2 linked regions of the Cricetulus griseus genome follow. The protein of the gene in region 1 purifies or fractionates together with the protein of each later gene. This does not show direct contact. Links are inferred from orthologs where the notes say so. Each region holds a gene or a part of one and is shown in the gene's direction. Other genes may lie near its edges.

Region 1 (10,308 bases):
TATCCCCCAAAGGCCCATGTGGTCCCCAAGGCAGCACAGCCACAAGGTGGTGGGACCCTCAGGAGGCAGAATTTAGTGAGAGCTCACTCCACAGGGTCACAACACTGAAGAGAATCATAGTGCCCTGATCTCTTCTACATTTTTATTTTTGCTTCCTAGCATTGAGGCAAGCACTTTGCTATGTGACATGCTCTCCTGTCATTACCATCCAGCACATCTACCACAGATCCAAAGCAATGGGTCTGCCCAATCTCATATGATGTGTGTGTATATGATTTATGTGTATAGTGAGTATGTGTGTGTGTGTGTGTGTGCATGTTTGTGAGTGTTGATGCATACGTGCTATGGTAGGCATGTAGAGGTCGGAGGTCAGAGGTCCTTGCCTTACATTTTGTTGGAAGCAGGGTCTCCTGTTCAGACCTGTGCATACCAGGCTAGCTGGCTTGTGAGCCTTCTAGGAGTTTCCTGTTTCCCTCTCCCATCCAGCCATAGCACACTAGGATTATAAATGTGTGGTGCTATGTCAGCTTTACATGGGTTCTAAGAATCTGAACTCCAGTCCTCACAATTGTATGGCAAGTGCTTTATAAATTGAGCCATCTCTCCAGCCCAAATTTTCCCCTTTATAAGTTAATGATCTCAAGTATTTTATTATAGTGATGGAAAGCTAATGCAACATCTACCCTGATAACTAAGTTTTCAAAGGCATACTTCTCATTTTGTATACTAAATCAGCGTCACTACACAAGTCTAAAAAACAAGCCCAGAGTAACTCAATACTCATTCTATTTGGAATTTGAGTGATTATACGAGGTCACAATGAAAGACTAGAAGAAACTAGAGCAGGAGGCCATCCTTGCTCCCTACCTTGTATCAAAATTGTCAAGCCTCAAAATACTCTTGTAGAAAACATGGTCTTGGATGGATAGATAGATAGATAGATAGATAGATAGATAGATAGATAGAAAAAATACTCTTGTAGTTTCCTTAGTTGTAGAATAAGGCAGCTTGACTTAAAGAGCCTTTTATAAAGCTAAAATTTCAACTGCCTCAAATGCCCCCACAAAACATGAAATGTAGACTTTATTTAGGCTAACACAATAAACAGTGACTCAAAAGATGGAATTGAAGCTGGATGTGGCGGTGAATACCTTTAATCCCAGCATTTGGAAGGCACAAGCAGGTGGATCTCTGAATTCTGGGCCAGCCTGGGCTACACAGCAACTTCCAGACTAGTCAGGTATACATGGTAAAATTCTGTCTGCAAAAACAAACAAAACCAAAACAAACAAACATGGAGTCAGATTATCTACTGCACGGCTCTTATTTACTAGCATTGTGATGCTTCACTTTGTCAACCCGAATGGATTTAGAATCACCTTGGAGACACATATCTGCGCATGTCTGAATGTGGTGGCACCATCCGTGGCTGGGGTTCTGGATTGAAGGAAAAGGAGAAATGGAGCTGAGCACCATCCTTCATCTCTGTGCTTCCCAACCTGGATGGGATTCAGGGAACATGCTTGTACCCAGCAGCCTCCAGCTCCCTCTTCCATGTCTTCCCTGCAGTAAGGAATGACATCTCTTCACACCACAAGCTGAAATAAACCTTCCTTCTTTAAGGATTTTGTCATCGATTTATATCACAACAATGGTAAAGTAACACACAGACACGGGTGTGCACCTGTCATTTATCGTAGACAGTATATTTTTTTATCCATCCAGACTAAGATTCTTCAAAGAAGAAACTGTCCCTTGTAAAGAGTTGGAGTCTAGATAAAACACAGCCAAGTTTTCCCTTGTTTGCTTATTTTTGGCTATGGGTACCCAGAGGTATACACTCAGGGACTGGTGCATAAGGAATACTTGTTTTCCATGAAGGCTGTTCTTGCATTGTCAAGTTGTCTCTTAGGAGATATATTTAATTTACAATTATCTTCCTACTCCATCCCCTTGCTCCCCCATAACAGAACCTGTGTTGTGAACTATTCCTTTATACTGTGTGAAGATGTGTCTCTCTGATTGGTTTAATAAAGAGATGAATGACCAATAGCTAGGTAGGAAGAGGTTAGATGGGACTTCTGGGGACAGAGAGGACTGGGGAAGAAGAAAGGGGGAGTCACCAGCCAGACACAGAGGAAGTAGGACATGCAGGAGAGGTAAAAGCCAGGGTCACGAAGCAACATGTAGACTAATAGAAATGGGTTATTTTAAGTTATAAGAGCTAATTAGAAACAAGCCGAAGCTAAGGCCAAGCTTTCAAAATTAACACGAAGTCTCCATGGCATTATCTGGAAGCTGGCTGGCAGGACAGAGAAAGACTCATTACAAACCTGTAGCCATGCAACAAATTAAAAAACAAGGACGTCCAAGTCATGAGGGCTCTGTGAACAACTGGACTATTTAATGGCAAATAACTCAGCACAGATGTGAAATCAGGAGTTTTGCAAGTTCACCTGCACAGACAGCACCTTACAATCAAGGGATTGTGAGCTGAAATCCCTTAAATTTCTGTCTATACTGAAAGTTCTGCCATTGCTTGACTAGAACATGGTGTGAGAGATCAAATGTTATAGATTCCAAGATAAAATTACCTTGGGGCATCTTGGGCCTTTTTGTAGCCATTTACTAGCCTTTATTTCCCTTTTTTCCTTTTTAGTTTTTATTCATAATCATAAACTTCACTCTGCAAACCAGATAGGCTTGGAGGGGAACCCAAAGAACTTCAATGAGAGTGGAGATCACCGGGTATTTCAAGCAGATAGTGTGGGGGACTCTCCTGTGCTACAGAAAGAGTGGTCTGGTGTGTAAGATGCCTGAAAGTCAAAAGAATTAGAGTTGTCCACAGTTGGAAATGGTTATCTTCTTACTGGACTTGCCATTCCTGGACCCAAAATGCTGGATGGCTTCCATGATGCTCATGCCTTCTTTCACCTTTCCAAAGGCCACATCTTTCATCCAGCCACACTCAGTTTTGGCTGTGGGAGAAAAAGAAAAATGGAAAAAACCCAACAAACCAACCAACAAACAAACAAACAAAAAGAACCCCAAACAAAAAAGAAAAAAAAAACAAACAAAACTGGGAATCATTTGTGTTTGGTCCAGCATTTGCCATGGACAAGATGCCAGGACCCGTATTCTTCAGGATGAAGTTCTCATCTTCAAATTTCTCCCCACAAACAGATCTGCCACCAATGACACTATGGCATGTGAAGTCACCACTTTGGCACATGTATCCTGGAACAATTCTATGAAAGGAGGGACCCTTATATCTAAATCCTTTCTCTCCAGTGCTCAGAGCACAAACGTTTTCTGCTGTCTTTGGAACTTTGCCTGCAAACATATTGAAGGAGACATGCTGAGATGTTGAAGAACACGGTGGCATTGAGCATGACTGCAGGAAGAGGCGAAAGTGGACAGTAGTGCCTACAAAGTCTGTTTCCCTTTTTAAAAATCTTCATTTTTGAGACAGGATCTCATGTAGCCTAGACTTCCCTCAAACCCTTTATGTAGCCTAGTCTGGCTTTGATCTTCTGCCTTTGCCACGGAAGTGCTGAGGTTACAGGCATGTGGTGCCCTATCCGGTTTATACAGGGCTCAGGATCTAACCCAGGGTTTCGTGTGCAGACTAGGCAAGCACTCTGCCAACTGAGCTACTTGCCCTGCCCCCATCTTTATTGTTACACTTAGCTTTATTCTCAGGCTTATTGTGTAAGCCCTTTACAGTATATTACTATGCTCAGTGGACCTCTAGCTCCCACCAACCCTGAAGCTAAGAGTACTCTTACATTGAACCTATGGAAGAGATTGATTCTCCCTGCCATATGCCTCTTACCTGACATTCCCACCAAAGGAACTCTGCTAAATCCATCGATTTATGGCTCTCTCTTGTCCAGCAACTATAAAAGTCCACAAAAGGTCAGTGAGATGGCTTGGTGGGGAAACACTTGCTGAGCAAGTCTGAACACATGAGTTTGATGCCCGGAACCCACGTAAAGGTGAAAGCAGAGAACTGACTCCACAACGTTGTCCTCTGGCCTCCATAAGAATGCTACCCACATACACATCATACACACGGACAAACTAATAATAATTCTAAAAAACATTGCAACTGGTTTCAAAGTGGACCATGCATTTAGGGCAGTGAATCTGAGCATTGCTGGGCAATACTCACTTATATTTGATTCAGAATAAACTATTTCCTTATTTCCTTTAAGGCAGTGTTTACTGTCCACTGGGTCAAATATGTAAACCACCACAAGAGCACAAGACAAGGGCTGGGTTGCCCACTTCATAATTTCTGCCAGGGCAGGGGCAGCAGTCTGACTGAATGTGGGGGTCAGGGCAGTTCTTTAAAAGTTGCATCTACACAGCAAAAAGACTTACTATATTGCCATCATTCCTTCTTGTAGTGTTATCTTGGGTGCAGGACAGGTGATCCTGACCTAGGTCAAGGAGACTCTAGAGTAGACATGAGACTTCCTACAGAGGGTACACGGCAGAGACAGCACTCCAGGCAGAAAGTGGTTTGCCGTGACCCAACCTCTATGAAGGACACAGACTTAGTTGCAGAGGTTGGAGAGATGGTTTAGCCTACACCACTGTACTGTTCTTGCTGAGGACCTAAGTTCAGTTACCGGCACCCACATCGGGGAGCATACAATTCCAGCTCCAACATGATCAGCTGTCCTCTTCAGGCCTCCAAGGGCACCTGCATGTACATATTAATACAGAAATCCACATAATTAAAAATATGTATTTTTTAGGATTTGAATTGCTCTTCAGATCCACAAGGCGCAAGAGAACCTAATCCTCAGTTATTTACAACAAAAAGCCCTTGAGATACTGCCAACACCTCATACCTGGGCCATGGCTCAGGAACATGTACATATATATATATACACTTTTTTATTCTCCCTTAAAGAAAGGAGTAGGACGCCCACCCAGTTCCACAGGCACACCCTTGCGCTGACATGTGGCGGCCTCACCGAAGTGACAGCAGCTGTTCAGACACAGCCTCCCAACGCGCGCTGAGCTCTGCGCCTGCGCCCGCCACCTGCGCGGCCGCGCTGCGCAGGCGCCCTGACCACTTCCGGGATCTGTCAGCCGCTCCTTCTGGGCCTCCCTCCTCCGTCCGCGCCCGCCGGAGCCTGTTCGCGTCGACTGACCAGAGTCCGCGAATCGTTCGCTCCGGCTCTCCGGACCGCCCAGATCCCAGGTAAGGGGCTGCAGGGCCGAGCGCCTGGCCCGGGTCGCCTCCATTTCTCGCATCTTCTATGGGACGCGGGGGCGGCGGGCCCGGGGCACCTAGGCACCGGGTCTCGACCTGAGGGGGCCCGCATCTCCGATCTTCATGGTGACCCCTGAGTCCCTGGTGCCCCCATACACACAGATCGAGCGTTTCTGAGCACTTTCCGGCTGCCCTCCGTCTCGGATGAGAGAATCGACAGCTTGGCCTCCGACACCCTCACAGTACCATTTGCCCCCCTACTGTGAGCATTTTACCACAATCTGTAAAATTGGTTCAGACCGGGCAGATCTCCCCCGAAGGCTTGTCATGAAGGCTTGCCATCTCTTCAACGTCTAGGATGTTGATTAGACCAGCCTGTGATCCGTCAGTTATTGGGGGACCCTACCCAACAAGAGAAAAGCCATCTTTGGAGTAACCTTAAGATTCCTCTGTTCTTGCCCCCTCCCGCGCCCAGTCAAAGTTGCACCTCCTATTCACTGCATGGAGTCCTTTATGTAGGACCGCCAAAGTTCTCATTTGACTCTGCCACTTTTTCCGGATGACCCTGGGAAGGTTGCTTCTTGGTGTCTTGGTTTCCCCAGCTACAATAAGTAGATTCTTAGTCTACTTAGTTTTTATTAGGTCAAAGTGAGTTTATTTGCTTAAGTTGCTTACAGTAATTCCTGGCCCAGAGTAGCTGTTCAAATAATATGAAAATAAAGGCTTCTTAGACGTTCTACAAATATCTACCTTCCTTCCCTTTGTTCTCTTTCTTCAGACTTGAAGACTAGCATTTATTTATGCTTCTGACCTCATTCAAATACTCAACATTGTTGGGAACCTGGTAGGCACTTAATAAATTGTAGCTTAGGATCTCTGATTATAAAGCCATCTGTTGTCATGCTGTGGCTTGGGAGTCTCCCTCCTATCTACTTGTTGCCCAATTTACTGAAATGACCTAGTTTGCACGCTCTTTTATCAATTTTATTTAATCTTTTTTTGTTTGTTTGTTTTTCAAGAGGGAGTTTTCTCTGTGTAACAGCTCTGGCTGTCCTGAAACTCTTTGTAGACCAGACTGGCCTCAAACTCACAGAGATCCACCTGGTTCTGCCTTCCGAGTGCTGGGATTAAAGGCATATGCCACCATATTCAGTCAGGTTCACTTAATCTTTTTGTTTCCATGTTGGCCTTAGGAATTTGGGTCTCTAGAAGTTACCAGTTTGGGGTGTTTGCCCTGTTAGAGTGAGTCTTGGTGGCTACTTCCTACCACACAATATCTGGGGGCCTTCTCCAGTTTATCTGCTGTATCCAACTGGGGGATCCTGGAAATTGCAAACTCCCTCAGAAGATGGGTGACAGTGTTTTGATCTAAATATCTAGGGTTACATCAAAACAAATTGAGTACAGGAAGTATAGAATGGTCTGATGAAGCTGGAATTTGGAGTGAAGCCTGTCCGAACATTGGTAGGGTGTGGTGACCTTGTTGGAGTAGCTCGAGTTGCTGGGTGGGTTGGGTAATGAGAGCGATTCGAAACTAGATGAATCACAGACTTGATATTGACCCTAACAGGGAATGGAAATTTCAACTTACGTGAATTTGTCAAGCACCAGTGGAGCGGGGCCAAGAAACTAACATATATCAATGTTTTCAAGTTCAGAGGGTCTTTCTAGGGGTGTCCCCAAGCTTTGTGTCAGAGGAAGAAAGAGAAGTAATTTACTGAGCTACCAAGATGGCTCTACCATTAAAGGCTAGGCTTACAACCAAAAAGACCACAGAACTAGTCTACTGAGATCAATTTTGGGCTGGTTTTGGATTGACATGCTTTTATGTGCTATCTCATTTAATCCTTCTGACACACAATAGTGTGGTGTCACTTGGAGACCTACATTACAGATGAAAAGTGACTTACCCAGCATCTCATTATGTATGTGTCAAAGCCAAGATTCTAACTCAGGTCTCCTTGTCTCCAGAGCCCATGGCTAACCATCCTTTAAAATGACTCCACTTGAAAGTTGGGATTAGTGTTGAGTTGGTAGAGCACTTGCATGGTGCGCATAGTGCCGAGGTTGGCTCACCAGCACCACAGGAAGAAAAGACAGTACTAAGTGGTAATTGAAGAGAGTGGGAACCTATGGAGTCATCCTATTTCTTCATCCTTCATTGCTAGACATGGACAACAGAAGCCTGGTTTTTGTTTGAGACAGGGTCTTAGTCCTGGTGGTCCTAGAACTCAGATCTTTCTGCCTCTGCCTCCTAAGTACCTGGCAAAATCTGTGCAGTACAATGTCATCACCTGTGGTGTTCCCTTTTCTCCTCATGAGTCTTGTTAAGATCAAACATGGCTTAAATGTCACCTGCAATGTAGAGATTAAAATTACTAACATATACATGAAGGTTTACCTTACATGGTAAAAAATTCAGGCTTAAAATAGCCAAATGATTATAAAGGAAAGACTGTGTAGCAGGCTTTCTCGACTGCCAGGCCCCAAACTATGACACGGAGACTTATTATTAGTTATGAATGGTCTGCCTTGGCTTGGGCTTGTCCCACTAGCTCTTGTAACTTAATTTAACTTGTTTCTCTTTATCTGTGTTTTGCTTCAGGGCTTTTTACCTTTCTTTCATTCTGTATGCCCTACTTTTTTGCTTCCTCTGTGTCTGGCTGGCCCCTGACGTCTCCCTTTCTTTCTCTCTAGTTCACTCTCCTCTTGAGCCAGGATTCCTACTCCTACTTATTCTCTCTAGCTAGCCCCGCCTATCCCTCTACTGCCTAGTTATTGGCCATTCAGCTTTTTTAAAAACCAATCAGGTGCCTTAGGCAAGCAAGGTGAAACAGCAACATATCTTTACATAATTAAATAAATGCAGCCAGGTGTTGGTGGTGCATGCCTTTAATCCCAGCACTCAGGAGGCAGAGGCAGGCAGATCTCTGTGAGTTCGAGGCCTGCCTGGTCTCCAGAGTGAGTGCCAGTATAGGCTCTAGAGCTACACAGAGAAACCCTGTCTCAAAAAACCAATAAATAAATAAATAAATAAATAAATAAATAAATAAATAAATGCAGCATAAACAAATACAATTTATCTTTACATACTAAGCAATGCAGCATAAGCAAATGTAACACAGCTTTACATAGTTAAAGTAATATTCCACAACAGACATATCCGGGTTTTTTTTTTTCTTTCCAAGACAAGATCTCTCTGTAGCTTTGGAACCTCTGTAGACCAGGCTGGCCCTGAATTTACAGAGATCCTCCTGCCTCTGTCTCTGAAGTAGTGAGATTGAAGGCATGTGCTACCACTGCCCAGCGAGCAGCAAGTGCTCTAACCACTGAACTTTCTCTCTCCCCCTACCCCAACAAGATGTTGTTTTGGGTTTAATATTTGACAAAATTAGAATAAGCATATCAGATTTCAGAGACAAGGAGAGATTGCATGTAGTGTGCATCTGGAGGTTTTGTTTTGTTTGTTTGTTTGGGACATGCCCAGTTATTTTTTTGTATGTATGAGTGTAAGTGCACATGTGTCATGGCATATATGTGGAGATCAGAGTACAGCTTGGTTTTCTCCTACCATGTGGGGTCTAGGCACTGAACTCAGGTCATTAGACTTGGCACTAAGTACCTTTACTCACTGAGTCATCCATCTTACTAGCCCTTGGTTGTTACTTCTGAGACAAGGTTTCTCTGTGTAATTCTGACAGTAGTGAGCCTCCTGCTCTGTCTTCTGAGTATTGAGATTGCAGGCATATACTGTCTTGAAATTAGTTTATATTTGTTTAGAGTTAGAGTCTTTATATGTAATCTTGAATCTGAGAACTCACTATGTAGATCAGGCTGGCCTAGAACTCATAGAAATCCAACTGCTTCTGCCTCCCCAGTGCCAGGATTAAAGGCATGCACTTCTATACCCAGTTGAAAGTTTGTATTTAAAAGTAAATTAAGCAGTCTCACGTGAATTCATTTTTTTTTTTGTAATTTCTAAGTAAGCCTAGCATATGCAAAGTGCTGAATTCTTTACTTTGCACCAAAAAATGTAAATAAGGAGCTAGAGGGATGGCTCAGCATTTAAGAACATACACTGCTCTTGCAGAGGACCCACATTTGATTCCTAGCACCATTATCAGTCAACTCATAACTGTCTGTAACTCCAGCTCCAGATGATTCACCCTCTTCTGGCTCTTGCAGACACTGCACTTGGGTATATAAACTCAGACAGACAGACTTACCCCAATACACACACACACACACACACACACACACACACACACACACACACACACAATTTTAAAATGTTAAAACCTTTTTTTAAACAGTAAGTTAATTAAGATGAAAGTCAAATTAAAGGCTCTTTGAGTCACAATTTGCTTTCTAGAACATAAAAAAGTAAAAATTGCAATAACAAATATTTCACTTTTTTTTGTTTTGTTTTTTTTTTTGAGACAGGGTTTCTCTGTAGCTTTGGAGCCTGTCCTGGAACTTGCTCTGTAGACCAGGCTGGCCTCGAACTCACAGAGATCTGACTGCCTCTGCCTCCAGAGTGCTGGGATTAAAGAGGTGTGCCACCAATGCCCAGCTTTTGGCTTTTTGAGACAGTCTCATGTAGCTCAGGCTGACTTTGTATTTGCTGTGTAGTTGAGGATGACTTTGAATTCCTGATCCTTTTGTCTCCACCTCCAAAGTCTTGGATTTACAGGTGTGTACCACCACATCCACCAAATATCTTCACTCTTGAGTAGAGTGTCAGTTGAAGGTAGATATCAGGTACTTTTTAGTTTTTCATCTTTGGATTCCTTGAGCAGAGTGTTTCTTTTCCATGCCACAGGCACTCATAGTTTTGCTGATTGGGTTCACCTGTTGTTTGCCTTGCAACTTTACAGGGTCTCTTCTGTTCATTTTCTGCTGGTGCCAGAATTCCTATCTCACTGGACATGGTGGCACATGTCTGCAATTCTTCCAACATTCAAGAAGCTAAGGCAGGAGAATTGTTAATTGGAAGCCAGCCTGGGCTACATAATAAGACCCTGTCATAAATGAAGAGACATTAATCACACAGCATTTGGGAGGCAGGGGCAGGAGGC
Region 2 (10,125 bases), on another chromosome or scaffold:
ACAAAACAAATTTTAAAAAGGTTATGCCCCAGAGCATAGCAGCAGTCCTGGGAAATATGCTGCTGGTGGTGGGTTTTTTGGTGATGGCCAACAAGACTCCCAGCTAACCTTCATTTCAATCATCAACCCTCCTGGGAGCCCTGTCTACACAAACAACTGACTGTGTCACAGTATATCTCAGAAAGCTCCCAGGGAATTCCAGGGACTACAAGGGGACAGAATCCATCTTCTGAAGTCTAGTAGGATGGCATCCCTGGCGTTGGGACCTAACTCTGCTGTCACAATTCCCATTTGGGTCTCTCTTCCCATCCATATCCTCAACATATAGTGTCAATGTTAGGTCATTAACCTAATGAGCCATCCCATAACTTGACACAATCTTTCTCTAGTGATGTCCCCTCTGTTGGAGAATCACCTGGGTTTCAGCTTCCAGTACACGCAGCCGCCTGCTTGCAGAGGACAGCAAGGTCTCAAGCTCCAGCTGCAGAGTGTCCAGCTCCTCAATACCAATGCCATCATCCTCGGAGCGGGCCAGTACTGCCGTGTACCGGGGACAGACCTTCAGGTGGTCCACAGACTTGAAATCATGGAATTGCAATGGGCAGTCCTTCAGTTCACTCATGGCTCAGGAGATGGGATTCTGTAAAACTAGAGAGAAGGCCATTGGATGGGAGACAAAGTAGCATGGAAGAGAGGTCCAACAAAGAAACCAGGATTCAATACCTTTATAGATACGGATGGTGGCAACGTTCCTGTTCATAGAGCCCTGATTGTACAGAGGGGGGCTTACTTCACTGAATTATACACACAACCTTGGGGGATGGGCTTTATTCATGCTTTCCTTTCTTCCTTTGATGAAAAAGGAAACAGACTCCTAAGTGCAATTCATTGTCTTTTTTGTTTTGGTAGCACTTAAGACTGAACCTGAGTCTCACACATGCTGTTATCTTCAGGTTTTTTTTTGTTTTTTTGTTTTTTTTTGAGACAAAGTCTCACTATGTGGTCTTGGCTGGCCTGGTACTCATTATACTTGCCTCTACATCCCAGAGTGCTGGGATAAAGGTGTATACCACCACACCTGACTTCCCATCCTCAAACTTGCTAAGTAACCGAATATTTGTTTTCACCTCCCACGTGATGGGATTCCAGGCATGTAACCACACCTGGCTTATTCAGTGCATGTAGGCACATAGTCTCCAAACAGCTACATTCAGCCCCCTTTCATCAATTTTTTATTGAGACAGGTTCTCACTCAGTTGTCCAGACAGGCCTTGCTTGCACTTATGATCCACCTGCTTCAGCCTCCCTAGTAACTAGGTTTACAAACCTGCATGATTAATTCGAACCCAAGAAGTCTCAAACCTGCACTACAAGAGAGATACCAGTGTGCCCTGTCTTCCTATGCCCTCTGTTGGGCTCTTTCAAGCATTCTATCTTACAGGGTTCACCCAGCCTCTCCTCATTCCACTTTTGTACCTCTCTGCGTCCCTAGCTAGTTTGGAACACGAGCTGGTCAAGCAGACAGAACTAAGTTCCAGCCCATTATGTGCCCCTCTAAACATGTTATTTAACCTGAATCTTAGTTTCTTTTCTTTTTTTTTTTCCAGGACAAGAGATGATGCCTCGGTCCGTTTCCCCATTAAAAAGTATCAATCTGTAAAATGGGGGCATCAAGAGTACCTACCTCCCTGGAATGTTCTGAGGATTAAGAGGTGATGCTTCTCAGGTGCCCAGTTCAGTGCCTGGCACAGAAGTGGGACTGCTTAATGGCTGGCTCCACCTGTGTGTCGCCCCAAGATCCCGCCTCCAGGGTCCTCGTCCTCTAGGGAGCCCCTAACACAGCTCCCGCCTCTCCTACCTCCTCTCTGCGGCCTCCTACAGGCCCCGGGCCGCAGGAGGGGGCGGGGAGTCCAGTGCTCTCAAGCAACCGCCCCGGAACTGGCTATGGGCGGGCCCGGCCCCCTGCAGTTGACGCGAGGGCGGGGACACAGCCAGCCCACGGTGGCCTCCGGGGGGTGGGGGGTCTAAGGCCACCTACGAACCTCCGACAGGTGGAATGCTAGGCCTGAGGTGTCCCCTAGGAAGCAGCCCGGGGCGAGGGCGGGGCTCAGAGCCCAGATCTCCAGGGACCCACTTGCTCGGCCAAGCCCCAGGGCTCCCGGTAGGAGGAGCCCGGGCGGAGAAGGGAGCACCACCGGAAGAAACGTCGGGCTTCTCCGGCTCTGCCTGTCCTAATTTGGTGCCCAACCTGAGGTCGGGCTGTACTATTGTTACATGGGGGGAAGTTACAACAGAGGCGACAAGAACCAAAGGCGCTGGGAAGAGATGTATGGAGACCCAAGGGGCTTCGAGTGCTACTGTGTCATCCCAGGCCTCCTACAAGTCCCTACGGTCCCAGTGTGAGATCGTCCAGGGGATCCGAACGTCGCTCGGAACTTCCTCCCCGGTCCTGCTCGAGATGGTCCCCCCCGGAAGTGCTGGCGGAGACTGCGGCTGCGCCTCGCGAAAGGGCAGGCGTCGCGGGGCCGGGCACTTCCGCACTTCCGCTTTCCGGCCCCGCGACAGCACCCGAGATGGTGAGAGACCCCGGGCTCGGGGGACTCCCTGTGTCTTGCTAGGAGAGGCTGTGGGGTCTGGGGGAGATGCTGTTTGCCGCCTGAGCTTGCGGCCGGAGGTTGCCCTAGGATGAGGGGGCACGATGAGGATGGGGAGGCAGAGGGTGGGGCGAGGGCAAATGCGAGGAGGAAGGAGCGAGCTGGGAGGTGAGCTGGGCAGGAGCAGGCCCGGATGCTTCCAAGTTGGGCATCCCCGGAAGGAATGTTCTCTCGCCAGAGTTCGGAGGAGGCGGGAAGTGGGGCTGCTAGGTCTGTGGTGGCGGCTGCAAGGTAGGACCACTGAGGAATGAAGCAGGGCCTCCTCTTCATCCACGGTAGAGATTCGCTAAGTGCACCCCCTTGTCCCCGCCTGTCTTCTCGATCTCACGGTACCCCAAGGCAAGTGTCCACTCCTCCTTATTACTCTCGATCCCTTCCACCCCTTGCTTCCAGGCCTCAATGAAGGTTCTGTGGTGTTGCCTCCATTCAGGCTCCTTCCTCGTAGTGCGGTACGGTGTTGACCTTAATGTGTGTAAGCGCTGATGACCGCTGGCCCTTCCCTTCCAGGTTTTTTCGGGTTTGGTGTCTGTGGGTGTTCCGTACTGTTGCATCTCTCTTCCTACTGCTTTCCCCGGTCATGCTGGCTTTGATGACCTCAGTTCTAAATGCCGGACTGCTTGCCATGCTCCTGTGACTCGACTCTGGAGAGACACCTTGAAATTAGACCCTCTTGTTCAAAAGTCACATGCTTTTTCTAAACTTGTTCATTCTCCTGCGTTCCATGCCCTAACTGGTTTCATTCCTCAGCCTGAAAGCCGTATCCCTTTGACTGAGGATGTAGCTTTTCATTTTTAAGCATTTAAGTTTTTTTGCACTTGAGATCCTTCTATTCACTAAAGGGCAGACATCACAGGACTAGCCACCTAGAATTCACTTTTAGTTTTCTTACTTTGACTATTAACAAAATAATCAGATAACCATTACTTCAATGAAGGTAGAGAACATTCTATCACTCTTCCAAGGGTACACTCTACCCCAGACAACTACTAATTTCACCCTTCCGGTTTTGCCTTTTTTTGGTTAACATATAAATAGAATTCTCTAGTGTGTAGAGAAAACATAATGCACCGGGCTACGTGCAAACTTAGTTGTGTTTTTAGCCTTTCCCTCCTCTGTCTAACGTCTGGCTGTCCCCTGTGATGCTGTGCTTTCTCCACTCCAGTCTGTACTCAGTGCCTCTTCTGAGTCTCACTTCCCTCCATTCCATTCTCCAGAGAGCCTCTGCTGAAGTCATGTAACTTCCTCCTCAGAAAGTCCCAATGCTTCCTGCCACATTGAGAGAAAGGCTAACTCAGTGAACTGGCATTCTAGATTGTCTAGGGTTTTTATCCCAGCCTGCCATTGCAGCCTGGTCTATGCAGTTTAAAATGCTTCTCGCGGTTCATTTGTTCACTCTACAGGAAATTTGTAAAATGCTATGTATAGGAAGTACTGAGCTAGTTGCAACCAGCATAACTGAATAAAGTTAATGTGTGTTGACCATGAGAATTACAAGCTAGTGAAGGAGAACCAATTTAAGAAAATACATGAAGAATGTCTTGTTGTGAATTATGGTAAAGTGTACATATCATAAACTCTGGTAAATGCACTGAGGAGGAAGTCAAGAAGACCACTTTGAGGAAGGAAGAGGCCTTTTCAGTGAGCTGAGCTCTGACGGACTGACCTAAGCAATGAGGAGGAAAGAATGCAGGTGATGGCCAGCATGTGATAGGCCCTGAGGGGAGACAGAGATAACTTGAGAAATAATGTAGCTGATCATTAAGCTGACCTTGTCTGCTACAGAGAATGTCCCAGGTCTACTTTTTCTCATTGTAAACCCTTCGAAGGCCGGGCGTTAATGGCGCACGCCTTTAATCCCAGCACTCGGGAGGCAGAGGCAGGCGGATCTCTGTGAGTTCGAGGCTAGCCTGGTCTCCAGAGCGAGTGCCAGGATAGGCTCCAAAGCTACACAGAGAAACCCTGTCTCACAAAACAAAACAAACACCTTCCTGATCTTGTGTCTAGTCCATACTAATTTCCGTAGTATGGATTATTTATAAACCTAGTTAATTTTACATTTTGCCTTCCATTAGTCCTTGTGATCTCATCCAGTTGAGTTATTTGAGAGCAGAAGTTATCTGACTGAATTCCCAGTGTGCTCAGGGCATGGATCAATACATTTGTCCATGTAGGAAGCAGGTGGAGGGCGTGGACCCATCTAGATCAGTATCACCCAGCCTCATCACTGTGGCTTTTGGGGCTGGGTAATTCTTGTGCATCCCAGATGTTGGGTGGCATGACTTACGTCCATAGTCCCCACCCAGCCCCCAAGTCATAACAGTTTTTTTTCTCCAAATTTTGCTAAATGCCAAGTAGAATTGTTTGCTGCTGGGAACCACTGCTGCAGACTCCCGACTGGGCTGTATCTTGAAGGCTGGGTGTGTTCTGTTCTGTGTGATGACCACGCCTGAAGCTTTCAGTATTGTGTGTTCCATAGGAGCTTTGGCGGGGGCAGGGGGATAATGGCTTTGGTGTGGTAGACTCTGGTCCTTCCTAATCTTGGGTTTATTCCTGCAGACTGCCACTCTCCGCCCCTACCTTAGTGCCGTGCGGGCCACACTGCAGGCTGCCCTCTGTCTGGAGAACTTCTCCTCCCAGGTCGTGGAACGACACAACAAGCCAGAGGTGGAAGTCAGGTAGGGAAGAGGGTCAGAATGGGGCTGAGGAGAACAACTCACAAGAGCAGACCCTGTCTAAAGGGGCCATGTTGACAGGCCAAAACCCATGGAAGACCTACATAGCCCAAAGTGTGGCCCCTGGAGTAGCGCTGTGGAGAAGTGTCTCCGGTAGCATTACTGAGGCCACTGGCAGCTCCAGAAGAAGGCACAGGCTTTAGTTCCTAGAGTTGACATCTCTGTATTAATGATTTAAGGATCAGGACTTTTTTTTTACTTTTTATCTCATTAATAGTGCCAGACAGTTTAGACCCTCTAACACCCAAATATTCCATGTTTTGAATGCAGTTTTGTCTTGTCTGGCTTTCATTTCATAAGTAAATAAATATTTTTCCTTTTTGAAATTTCACCTGGCAAGGATATGCGAGACTACTGATCCCAGCACATGGAGGCTGAGGCAATAGCAATAGAACCACAGGGTCGGGGATAGCCGTAGCTACAGAACAGGTCTTTTCTCACGAAACCAAAAGAAGCTGGCTGTTGTGGTGCACAGCTTTAATCCCAGCACTCAGGAGGCAGAGGCAGGTGGATCTCTGTGAGTTTGAAGCCAGTCTGGTCTACAGAGTAAGTTCCAGGACAGGCTCCAAAGCAATACAGAGAAACCCTGTCTCAAGAAGAAAAAAAAAAAAAGGAAGCAAAGGGGGGAAAATCTGGGATGAACATAGTTGAAATAAGTTGTGTTACCAAATAGGTAATGAAGGTATTTTTATTGCTGGGGATTGAATCTAGGCCCTTGGGCATGTTAGGCACACAGTCTACAGCTGAGCCATATCCCCAAAATGATTGCTGTGACTCAAACAATTCTAACGTTAGGATGGACTGTGTTGTTACTTGATATACATGGTTTTCAAGTGGTGACCTTTACAGATACCTAGAAAGTCAATGGCATCAGCTTGGTCCTCTGATTTTGTGTTTTTAGGAGTAGCAAAGAACTCCTATTGCAACCTGTTACTATCAGCAGGAATGAGAAGGAAAAGGTTCTGATTGAGGGCTCCATCAATTCTGTCCGGGTCAGCATTGCTGTGAAACAGGTGAGTCACCATGGAGAGGGCACAGTTAGGAGCGCTCTTCACAGCCAGGGATCCCTTCTGAAAGGTCGGTGAGCTAGATTCAGAGCCTGCTTTCAGGAATTTACTTGGCATGATTGGCCAGAGCAGATATGGTTGCACATGCGTGTAATCCTAGCCCATGGAAGTCTGAGACTGAAGATGGAAAACCCAAGACCAGTCTGTCTGGGCTACTTGGTGAGTCCCTATCTGAAAAAACAAACAAAACAAAAACTGGGTCAGTGGAATAAAACTGCAACAACACTATCCCATAGCCCTGGCTCTGGATTACAAACAGGGAAATGCAGCCGGCAAGGACATAGGTGATGGTTGTGTGCACTTAGAGCACTATCAACCAGCACTGGTTTGATAGCCATAGTTTCTGACACTGCCATTTCATTTAAAAACAGATGGTACAACACACATGCACATATGGAATTCTCAGCAACAGCAAAAAAGGAGCAGACCATCCATTCTAGCTTGTCTTTCAGAAACAGCTGTGTAGGCTAGCAGTGGGTGGGATGATAACATCATGAAAGAAAAATGCCAACAAGAACACTGGCAAAACTATCAGAACTGAAGATCTGTTTTAACAGTAATTGCCCAGACAAATGTCATAGTGTTTTCTTTGTGCATTTTCTCTAGTAGTTTTATAGTTGAAGGACCTACTTCTAGTCTTTTATCCATCTTCAGTTAATTTTTGTATATGGTATAAGGGTCTAGTTTCATTCTTCCACATATGAATGACCAGTTGTCAGCACAATTTGTTGAAGAAATTCCTGCCATTGTGTGACCTTAGACTTTTGTTGGAAATCAGTTGACTTTAAATATTTCAGTTTCTTTGTGAGCTTTCTCTTCTCTTCCAATTCATATATGTATAAAATAGGATTTCCATTTCTTACACGTTTCCTTAAGCGATATTTGACAAATATCTACCACATAGGTCTGGGCCTTGCTGTCTCAGTATCAGTTGAATGGTTATTTAATATTTGTTTTTAAATTTGACCTAGATTCCTTTTTTTTGCTTGTTTTTCAAGATAGGGTTTATCTGTGTAACAGCTCTGGCTGTCCTGAAACTTACTTTTTAGACCAGGCTGGCCTCAAGATCAGAGAGATCACCTGCCTCTTCCTCCGAAGTGCTGGGGTTTCAGGCCTGTGCCAGCACTGCCCTGTTTTTGACCTGGATTCTATTTCCCATTAAGAAAGAAACTTTGTATCTTAAGTGGGAAAATAGTATCATTTGCCCCAACTCTAAAAATAGCAGTTAAAAACAATGTTACAAATCTTACCTTTTGAAAGCCTTCAGCCTTAAAAGGAAGGGGGGGGCGCTGGAGAGATGGCTCAGAGGTTAAGAGCACCGACTGCTCTTCCAGAAGTCCTGAGTTCAATTCCCAGCAACCACATGGTGGCTCACAACCATCCATTATGAGATCTGGTGCCCTCTTCTGGTGTGCAGATATGCATGGAAGCAGAATATTGTATACATAATAAATAAATAAAATCCTTTTGAAAAAAAAAAAGGAAGGTACGGAAGCCCTGGCAGGCAGGGGGCTGGGTGGCTTTACTGGTGTCTGATTGCCAAGATGCAGAAGTAATTGGAAGAGTTGAAAAAAGAGAGACTTCAGGATTGTTGGATTTTAGTAATGTTAAGACAGACACTCCTTGAGGAAATCTGTGAGGTGGGTCCCACCGATGCTGAGAAAGGCCACACTAGTGACATGAGGAAGGTCAGGCAGCTTCAGATACAGGTGTGGACTCCATCACAGCTGATGAAAGACTAGTTTGCCAGAGTTCCCTCACCGGTGTGAGATGAGAGCTCAGTAACTAACACCTGTTAAGGCCAAGTGGCCCTGGCTGGGCCCTCGCTGCAGTTAGCAGCTGGTGCTGCAATTCAAAGATCAGCAGTCTTTGTTCCCACCAAACCTCTCAGCAGTGGGGAGGTTCTGGGCCAGACAAGCAGGCCCGGGGTGATTTTGGCTTTGCCTGTCTGCTGGAGAGCCGTCTTTGTCTTTGTGTCATCAGGCTGATGAGATTGAGAAGATTTTATGCCATAAGTTCATGCGCTTCATGATGATGCGAGCAGAGAACTTCTTTATTCTTCGAAGGAAACCTGTGGAGGTGAGACCTATCTTCTGGAATTTGAGATTCCCAGGATTCTGTCTCTAGGTGGCCTGGGTTTGTTTGTTTGGTTTTTGCAGTATGGGGGATGGAACCTAAGGCCTAGCACTGCTGGGCAAGTTACTGGGCTATTCCCTGGGTCTGGGGATTGAAGGCCAAGGGCTGCTGCTTTTCTAGCTGTAGGGTATTACTGCTTGGACTGAGTTAGCCCATATATGGTAGCAGGAGGACAGAACCCCAGGAAGAGGTAGGTCTGTGCAGTGCCCTCTTTCAAAGAATCTTGGGCCTAGTCACAAACAAAACAGTTATTTCAAAATTCTTTCTGAGCTGGGTGTGGTGGGCATGCTTGCACTCCCAGTATGTAGGAGACCAAGGCAGGAGAATCATGCATTTGAGACAAAAGAAAGGAAGAAGACAAAAATGAAACAAAAATCTTCCTAAGCTCTCCCAGCTGAAGTCCAGCTCTCAGAGCCCCAGTAAACAGTGAGATGCTTGCTGCCTGCCTTTGCGTTTAAAGATACTTGAGTCTACTCCATAGGCTCCTGATGATTGTTGGGTGCCGCGTGCGCCCAAAGATGATCCGTCGTCCATAAGGCTAAGATTTCTTTATTTAGATAAACAGCAGCCCAAATGCAAGCCAGAGCGTGCCAGGGGCAGCAAGGCAGCTAGGCCAGAAAGGGGCCAGAAAGAAGGGGCTATTCACGTGTGCGCGGTCCCTTAAGAATCATTCCCATGTCACCTTAGACCTCTCCTGACCACTCCCTCATGGGCGTGTCCCGGCACACCTGTCCTGGCTACTAGGAGGCTGGGCTACAGTGTCTCCCTACAGGCTCCCTGCCAAGTCTCCCTGGTGACCTAGCAGCCACCATGTGTTGGTCTGTTTTTCACCTTGAGCCACCTTCTCTCTGTGTCCTCACTCTAACCTCTGGGGCCACTAGAGTAAATGAGCTCACTCTTCCTCACACATCCTCCTGTAGCAAACAGCTCCAGTTCCATCCTCTTCCATGTCAGTTCTGTGTTTTTTGTTTTTTGTTTTTAAACTATTGAGTTGGGTTTTTTGAAATAAGATTTGTGGCCCCTTTATTTCCTTAGCTCATTTTGAATACAGGGCTGTTTGTGCCACATTCTTTCAGGGACATCTGACCCCGCACACAATTTTGAACTGGGTTCAGTTGCTTGGGTCCAGCAAACACATACAACACACAATCGCCCATATGCGCCCCTCACCAAGCAAGCGGATTGCTGACTAAAGGACAGATGTGTAGCTTGGGAGAAGATGGTAGCCAGTTGGAAGCCTGTGTTAGTGTACAGAAGATATGACAACCATGTGACCCTGGGGACTAATTTTGTCTTGTCTCCTTTCCCTGCTGGCTTCCCTCCCTAGGGGTATGACATCAGCTTTCTTATCACCAACTTCCACACGGAGCAGATGTACAAACACAAATTGGTGGACTTTGTAATCCACTTCATGGAGGAGATTGACAAGGAGATCAGTGAGATGAAGCTATCTGTCAATGCCCGGGCCCGCATTGTGGCTGAGGAGTTCCTCAAGAATGTGAGTAGGACCTCCCCACTCCATACCAGAGGAAGAAG

The links. Proteins that work in one complex are often made in the same cells at the same time.
Region 2: the proteins of Arpc1a (region 1) and Arpc4 fractionate together in Homo sapiens (co-fractionation; 7 studies listed by BioGRID and IntAct, with this or other methods). This does not show direct contact. The link is inferred for Cricetulus griseus from reciprocal best matches to the Homo sapiens genes ARPC1A and ARPC4.

The regions. Positions count from the first base shown.
Region 1 is NC_048597.1:81,463,879-81,474,186, forward strand, and holds the start of Arpc1a (actin-related protein 2/3 complex subunit 1A), read left to right. Parts: upstream 1-5,059; 5' UTR 5,060-5,218; intron 5,219-10,308. UniProt on the Homo sapiens protein: Probably functions as a component of the Arp2/3 complex which is involved in regulation of actin polymerization and together with an activating nucleation-promoting factor (NPF) mediates the formation of branched actin networks.
Region 2 is NC_048601.1:31,415,145-31,425,269, reverse strand, and holds the start of Arpc4 (actin-related protein 2/3 complex subunit 4), read left to right. Parts: upstream 1-4,244; 5' UTR 4,245-4,338; coding exon 4,339-4,344; intron 4,345-5,210; coding exon 5,211-5,329; intron 5,330-6,287; coding exon 6,288-6,399; intron 6,400-8,436; coding exon 8,437-8,532; intron 8,533-9,916; coding exon 9,917-10,087; intron 10,088-10,125. Other genes in the region: Tada3 (transcriptional adapter 3), read right to left, coding at 416-622. UniProt on the Homo sapiens protein: Actin-binding component of the Arp2/3 complex, a multiprotein complex that mediates actin polymerization upon stimulation by nucleation-promoting factor (NPF).